2 linked regions of the Nothobranchius furzeri genome follow. The protein of the gene in region 1 purifies or fractionates together with the protein of each later gene. This does not show direct contact. Links are inferred from orthologs where the notes say so. Each region holds a gene or a part of one and is shown on either strand. Other genes may lie near its edges.

Region 1 (3,979 bases):
TGGGACTTTTTAAATACTTTAATTATGTAATACTATTTAAATGTATAGTAAGTGACTTTATTTTACTTTTACTTTGTAAAAACAAAACAGTGATTTCATGTTTAAGAGTTTCTGTTATGTTGGCTGAAAGCTCCACCCACTTACCTTCACACAGTGCTGGTGCTTTTTAGGCCTAAACAATTATTACAAATAAAAATACTAAATGCAAGAAAAACACCTGCTGCAAATGCTGCTGCTATGAAATTGTCCGTTTTGGTTTTAACTTCCTGCATTACCCTCATCTTATAGTTTCTAAGTACTGTGCGTGTGAAATATTACAAAAGTAATAGTACCTTTTATCGAGCAGCTCTACCTTTAGGGTCTTACCTTGTTGTCATGCTGCGCCATAAACGAGCTCCTGTCAAGAGAAAACAAATGAACTATTCATCATTGTTATAATAAAACAGTAAAGTAACCCAGTTGAAGAGTAATTTAGATTAAATTAACAAAAACTGAGTAAATTGTGTTCCAGTTTGTGTCATGGTCTGCGTCTGCCCCCTCCTTTTTGTGTCTCCTGATGTTTCTCCAGCCTCTCTAGTTTCCCTTCTGTGTCTCATAGCGCCCTCATGTGTCCTTTGTCTGCGTCTCAATATTGTGTCTTCTGTTTGTAGGCATTTTTATCATTCCCTCAGGTCCGGTGTTCATTTAGTAATCCTGTGTCCCTCCAGTTACTGTGTGTGTGTGTGTATGTGTGAGTTATTTATGTCTGTGTGTGTGTGTGTGTGTGTGTGTGTGTGTTAGTCCTTCCCGCAGCCTTTTAGTTTGGATTCGTAGTTTTAGGTTTATCTGTCCTCCTTTGGTTCTGTTTCCCCATTTAGATAATTATTGCCACCTGCCTCCCCTCCAGCCCTCACTCCACACACCTGCTTCCTGTTCCCTTAATTACTCCTCCCTGTTATTTAAGCCCTGTCTTGTCTTTGTCTTGTGTCGGTCCATTGTTGTTATTCTGTCAGTCTTCTCGTGTTGTCTCTAGTGTTTTGATCTCTGCACAGCTCTTTTGGATATTTATTGGTTTTTTGGGTCCAGCCCATTTGGATATATTTTTGTTTCATTCATCCTAATAAAATGATTTTACTTTATATCATCTCCTGCCTTGTGTCATCTTGGGTTCCTGCATTTTGGGTCCTACCAACACTGAAACGTGACAGTTTGGGGAATTTTTTGTCTTGTATTATTGGATTAGGCATCAGATTTCTCATCATTTAGCAGCTGCCTGAATAAAACCTCCATGTTTTGTGGTATTTATCGTATTTTATAGTAAAACCCAATCTGCTTCATCTTTCATGTAGAAATTAGGAAGTGTGAGAAAATTAAGGTGAGATCTGACGACTTGTTTCTTCTGGAGGTCATGACCCAGGTAGGTCACATCTTCAGCTGATGATCTCACTTTGAAGGATTCAGGGGACAGTTATGAGCTGCAGAATGAGCCCAAATCATCAGTCCTCCTATATGTATATGTCGATGGTCCTCCCCCACCATGCTAGAACAGCCTGTTTGTTCTAATGACTGTTGCTATGTACCGCTGTGCATTATGGGTAAGCATCTCCACATTCATTTCTTATTTCCAACCCAATTCCAGGTGCCTTGCCAGTCATTCAGGTGTAACTTCTCAAACCTAACCTTTACTTTAGGATGTTTTATAATTCAACATTAACATTAATTGTTGACATTTTTATATATAATTTTGTTTATTGTCGCAGAAACAGAAGATTTTGTTAAATTGGCTCCTTCACGAGAAAGGTGTTTACGTGTTACCTGTGGATCTGGTCCGAATCACGTCTCTGACTGTTACCATGGCAACCAGCAGAGCCAGCAGGATGGCCAGGAGGCTGAAGACTCGCAGAGAGCTGAAGGCAACAAACCTGCAGACATAAAGGTTTACCTGTTAGAAGCCAATTGCATTTATAATGGGAAACATCAAAGTGTCACGTGAAGCAGAACAAGTTTATTTTTGCATGAAAACAGACATTTTCCCAATGAAACTAAAAAAATTCTTCATTATTTTATTAAGAAATAAATAAAAAAGGATTTATTGTTACACAGAGTTTTTATGTCCTGGAAGTTATTTTATCTGTGAATTTAAATTTAGTAAATAACTAAATCTGAGCAAATAAACCAAAGCAAGTTATCATAAATTTATTTTGATTTCTTAGTTTGAACTAAATCAGATCCTTTTGCTGATTTCACTTTAGGTTTTTTTTCTTCTTCCGGAAATCATCATGATGCAAGGTTTAATCCTTGTTGTTGTTATGACACTAGTCTCTTGTCAAGCTGTGCAGTTCATAAAATAAAATAAGTCTCAAAATCAATTACATTACATTCATCCACCTGAGAGGTAATGTTAGTATTCTTCTTCTTCTTCTTCTTCTCATTTTTCTTCTTCTTCTCATTTTTCTTCTTCTTCTTCTTCTTCTTCTTCTTCTTCTTCTTATTATTATTATTATTATTATTATTATTATTAGACTGCGGCTGAGCATATCCCTGCGTCATGATGCCTACCACATCACCGTGTTGGCTGCAGCAAACAAGGCTGAAGTCCTGCACAGGTTCTGCTTCCAGCTGACCAGGCCGGTGAGATGAATCCCTGCTCGGCCGGAAGGTGTACTCTCCTCGGGCGGAGCCCGGCTTGGTGGCACCGGTGGTCCCCGCGACCCGGCTGACGCCTCCCCGCCGCCGGACGTACCTGCTTCCCGGCTCTTCAGCATGACTAAACCCTTCGCCGCTCCCCACCTCTAGCAGAAATAAGGCTCCATCAATTATCATCTTTTCCGGTTTGGTATTTTCAAAATAAAGCACACACTATATCACGTCACAAATCTGGGCTTCAGTCCCTCTGAAGTGGTTTTGACCAAAAATAAATAATACGAAATAATACAGCTATTTCTCTGCTATGGCAGAACTCAAATCAGCAGTTTAACTGTTAGGATTTATTGTACTCCAAAACCATTGTTTTTCTATTGTTGCAAGAGAACTTAGTTATGCATAAGAACAAATTTGTTTAAGTCATAAAAACAGATGGTCTGATGCAGTTCTGAGTTACTTTTTGTTTTTTACAAATTGGGAAAAGCAGGTTTTGCTGTTTTAATCACTTCTTGATGAACACTTTATAACTTGAATTACCTGTTAGGACTCAAACTCAACCTGGCATGTTAATGCCTCAAATTATTAAAAGATGCAAAACAATACTTCATTATTTGAATGTTCTCAAGGTTAAAGTGTTTATTTTGAGTGTCAAGTAAATTCTGTGTCTCAGCAAAAGAGATAAATAGTTAGAGATGTCCCTTTAGAAGCTCATTCAGGACATTTAGGAGTTTAAATGAATGGGTCTTGTGAACACTTGAGGGAAAAAAACAACAGAAAAAATGTTGACCCATTTTTTTTAACGCTGCCTGAACCGTTCTGACTGTGAATCAAGATGAGACCTTGTTGCCAAGCTGTGGTTTCCAACAATGTCCTGCTCTACTTTGTGCTGCCAGACTAGCTTCCTCACCACCAGGTCACCATCACAGAGTCAAACTTCCAGGAGGTTTATGGCTGATTCAAGAGAGAAAATATCAAAACTTTTGCTTTAAACTAAAATAAAGACTCGTTTTAGCAAGGACTTGTTGATTTTTGCCAAAATAATCAAATACATAAATTATAAGCAACTAGTTAAACATCTCTTATAGGAAACAATGCTTTCAGTTGACTGTGTTTGATACTTGTGCCTGTTTAATCTTTAAATCCTGTCCTGAGTCAGCCTTCACCCTCTGCAGCGACAGTCCTCCTTTAGGGGGGACATGACATGTAGGAAGTTGCAGATTCTGTAGAAGTTTAGTTTTGTTTGTAGTCCCGAGCAAAGAAGGGAAAATAAGAGTCATTCCAGTCCGTTGCATTGTAAAGAGAAAATATGACATTTAAAGCTATGTCTTCAGAAGAAAACTCATCTGAGGATTTATTG
Region 2 (4,248 bases), on another chromosome or scaffold:
TTTTAGGGTTGGATTACTTGATTTTAATGGATTTAGTTTTTATTTTTGATTGTTTTTATTGTGTGTTTTGTTCAGCACTTTGGTCGGCTCTCATGCCGTGTTTAAATGTGCTATATAAATAAAATTGGTATGGTATGGTATGGTAAATAATCCGATGATTAAATGGTAAATAGCCTGTATCTGTATAGTGCCTTAGGGTTCTACAACCCCCCAAGGCGCTTCACAACACAGTCATTCACCCATTCATACGCTGGTGGTGATGAACTACATCGTAGCTAAAGCTGCCCTGGGGCGCACTGACAGAGGCGAGGCTGCTGAACACAGGCGCCACCGGTCCCTCCGACCACCTCCAGCAAGGCGAGTTAAGTGTGTTGCCCAAGGACACAATGACAGAATTCTCTGGTCTGAGCCGGGATTGAACCTGCAACCTTCCGATTACTGGACAACCCACTCTACCTCCTGAGCTGCTGCTGTCCCTTACATCCAAGCACAAACCCACAGAGGACACAGCTAAAGTTCAGAGTCAAAATGGCCGAACGTCCATTAACATGAGGCCTTTCCTAGAGCTAGCTTGTAGCTCTGGTGCTCAATAATTATTCATAATTTCAAGCATTTAATTACAGTCAAAGAGTTATAAAATAACTCACCCCCTCAGAGTTGTCATAAATGTTAGAAAGATCAGTCAAACCTAGAATGGCTTTTTGAACCAGGCTGTAAATGTGTTTATTTATGCTGTGAAACTGGCTTTTTTAACATGGGAGTCAAAGGGAACTTGCTCTGTTTTGGTACTAGCCCCTAGCGGATGAGGGTGGAACTGTAATTTTTGGTACTTCCATGCTGGAGCAAAGCCAGCGGCCTTGATCCCTTGGTACCGACGCACACTCAGAAGCATAAGCTCGGCTTAAATAGCGCCAGATACATGGCTATAACCAAGCAGCTGGCGGTCTCTGTTTTAGTTCAGATAGTCCTCGTGGGCATGAATGTTCCGTCTAAGAGAAGAGCAAAACACTTTGCTTCCCTTCTCAGTTATCCAGCATCAATTAACAGAGGCTGCCTGTGAGGTTCACTTGAATTAAAGAGAACTGAATCCACCTGAGCATAGTCGGTGGAACCGACAGATCCTTGAGTGCACAGATGCACTTTGTTAGGCAGGCATTTATCAGGAAGGCATCGATGTTCTAAACTCGCTTTGTGGACTACCCCCCAGGTTCGTGCGTGTGCAGCTTACAGGGATCTTGTTTGGGTGCTGCTCTCGGATCTGCTGGACCTCTTTGCATCGATCAGCTGTCGACAAAACAAATAGACAGCATGATGAGATTAGGAAGTTTACAGCAACAAGAGAAGATGTGTTTTGGATTGGTGGCCATATTGCAGCCATTTTGGATGGTAGGCTTTCGACTCCGTGTGTCACTGCAGATGGCTGCTTATGCTGATCCAGGATCCTCTGGAGGTTTCTTCCTGTGAAGTCTCTGACACAAGTCAGTGACTCGATGCAACCTGCTGGGTTACTTATATAGGAAACTTTTTACTGATTGCATTAATGAACTGAACTATTGGAATGTTTACTTTGAGAAGCGCCTTAAGAGGACTTGTCGGGATTTGGCGCTTTATAAATAAACGGAATTATAGATAGGGTGAGAAGCTCAGTCATCCGGGAGGAGCTCGGACTAGACCCGCCTCTCCTCCACATCGAGAGGAGCCGGTTGAAGTGGCCCGGGCTTCTAGTTGGGGTGCCTCCTGGACGCCTCCCTGGTGAGGTTATCCAGGCACATCCAACTGGGAGAAGACCTAAAGGAAGACCCAGGACACACTGAGGGGACTATGTTTCTCAGCTGGCCAGGGAACGCCTTGGGATTCCCCGGAGAAGCTGGCCCAAGTGGCTGGGGAGAGGGAAGTCTGGGCTCCCTGCTTAGGCTGCTGCCCCCCATGACCAGATTCCAGATAAACGGAAGAGGATGGATGAAACTCATTTCTAAATGAAACCATCATAACCACGTTCTGGACCTTAGCATGGGTGTCAAACTCTGGTCCTCAAGGCCCACTATCCCACATGTTTTAGTGTTTTCCCAGTTTCAACACACCTGATTTCAAGCTTGGGCCTCCCTGCTTAGACTACTGCCTCGCGACCTGATCCCGCGATATATTTGCATCAACCAAAATAATCGTGGTTATCATTTTCGCCATTGGCCGGATGGGTCTCTTCCTGATGACATCATCCTGTGGTTCCAGTCAGAGATGTTAGGGTGTTCCAGGTGAAACTCCAGTTTTAGAGCTTTCTATCAACCCGTTCCAGGTGTTCATCTACATAGTTCTCACCTTGCTTTGATATTCATGTTTCTGACACTGACAGCTGGTCCGTTCAGGTGAGCGGGTCACTGCCAGACTCCTCCCCTCCTGTCAGGTGACCGATTTAATCAGAGAATACGTGTAGGGGTCATGTTTCAGCACAACTTGTTGTTTTGGCCTCGCGGTGGGTCACGGAGCTGATCCGGTTGTGTAAAGGCTGCGGCGTCACATTGACCCCGTTTACCGTGAAGCTACAGACCGACCATCAACACATGTAAACACGTTAAATCCGGTGTGAACCTACGCATTGAAACGCACTAACGCTAGCTGTAGACAGCACCGTCTTACCGAACGTTCTCCGCTGCTTGAACGGTCGGTCCGACGGCATCCCGGCAGCGGCTTCAGGCGAAAGAAGGTGATGAAAACGGCCCTGGGAGGGTTTCAGATGGCTCGGTCTGAAGCTCCGCAGCAGCTCCGTACAAACAAAGCCAGTAATCTGACGCGCTGACGTCATCCGCTGCCTTATGGAGGTGAGTGAGGCAAGCCAAGTTGTCATTTAATATTCAGAAAAGTTATTCAGTTCCTGTCAGTAAAATTGAGGCCGTCTCTGGATCAGATCTCTGATTTTTATCTGATTTGGTGCTAAATACTGATAAGGTCATGGTAGTGGGGGATTTTAACATTCATGTGGACATTGAAAATGATAGCCTCAGTGTAGCCTTTAGTAATATACTGGTTTTACCCAAAGAATGCATAGCTCCACCCACTCCTGGCATCATACATTAAACCTTGTGCTGATTTATGGCATAGAGTGTGAGGAAAATAACGATATTTCCACATAATCCAGTCCTCTCGGACCACTTTTTGATCACCTTTGAGTTTTTTTATAACTGAGTTCTAGAGACATGAAAGTAAATTTCACTATAGTCTGTCTTTATCTGACAAGGCTGTTGCATCTTTTAAATCAATTATTCCATCTTTACTGTCCTCAGCATCTCAGAGGACTGTAGCAGAGGGCAATATTTTCATTTCTAGCCCCTCACAAATTGATGATTTAGTTCATAATGTTACTTCTTTACGTGTGGCATTAGATGATGTTGCCCCTTTAAAAAAGGTAATTAAGCACAGGAAGTTGGCTCCCTGGTTTAATTCTGATTTACAAACTTTAAAACAAAACTCTAGAAAATTGGAAAGAACATGGCGCTCTACAATTCAATTCAAGTTTATTTATAAAGCATCAAATCAGGACCAGAGTCGTCTCAAGGACCTTCACACAGTAAACATTCCAATACAGGTCAGGTCATTAAGCCAATCAGTAAAAAGTTTCCTATTTAAGGAACCCAGCAGGTTGCATCGAGTCACCTCATACTAAGAATGCAGCGACAGTGCAGAGAAAAACTCCCTTTTAACAGGAATTTTGTGTTTCTTAGTAAACATTCTATTTGGTGAGATAAACTTTATTGTATTTATCCTAGTGAATCTATAATTAATCTGGTAAACTAGGAGTAGCACATTCAATGTCAAAGAGAGTAAAATGTTATTGTCAGGAGAGGGAGAAGTGGTTAGCAGCAGTGTGCTAGCCAATGGCCCCCTCCATGAGGCCACTACAGCTCAGCAGAACATCATTGTAGCTTCTTCTGGGGAGGAAAACACTTAAGAGTAAAAATAAAGTTAACAGCTGAAATAGCAGGAAATAATGCAGTTAAAGAGCAGATTGTAGAAGAAAGTAGTAGAGTGTGGAAAGTGGTCAGTATGTCCTCCAGCATTCTAAGCCTATAGCAGCATATCTACAGAGATAACTCTGGATAACCTAGCCTAGTCTTAAAAGTAGAGACGGTGTCTGCCTCACGGACTAAAGCTGGGAGCTGGTTCCACAAGAGAGGAGCCTGATAGCTAAAATATCTGCCTCCCATCCTATTTTTAGATATTCTGGGAACCACCAGTAAACCTGCACTCTGAGAG

What was found. The genes of interacting proteins can lie anywhere in the genome.
Region 2: the proteins of retreg1 (region 1) and microtubule-associated proteins 1A/1B light chain 3A purify together in Homo sapiens (affinity purification with western blotting; 3 studies listed by BioGRID and IntAct, with this or other methods). This does not show direct contact. The link is inferred for Nothobranchius furzeri from reciprocal best matches to the Homo sapiens genes RETREG1 and MAP1LC3A.

The regions. Positions count from the first base shown.
Region 1 is NC_091751.1:36,444,795-36,448,773, reverse strand, and holds the start of retreg1 (reticulophagy regulator 1), read right to left. Parts: upstream 2,809-3,979; 5' UTR 2,745-2,808; coding exon 2,539-2,744; intron 2,508-2,538; exon of another isoform or gene 2,430-2,507; coding exon of another isoform or gene 2,368-2,429; intron 1,902-2,367; coding exon 1,795-1,901; intron 398-1,794; coding exon 367-397; intron 1-366. UniProt on the Homo sapiens protein: Endoplasmic reticulum (ER)-anchored autophagy regulator which mediates ER delivery into lysosomes through sequestration into autophagosomes.
Region 2 is NC_091743.1:78,250,660-78,254,907, forward strand, and holds the start of microtubule-associated proteins 1A/1B light chain 3A, read right to left. Parts: upstream 2,804-4,248; 5' UTR 2,801-2,803; coding exon 2,635-2,800; intron 1,285-2,634; coding exon 1,229-1,284; intron 1-1,228. UniProt on the Homo sapiens protein: Ubiquitin-like modifier involved in formation of autophagosomal vacuoles (autophagosomes). While LC3s are involved in elongation of the phagophore membrane, the GABARAP/GATE-16 subfamily is essential for a later stage in autophagosome maturation.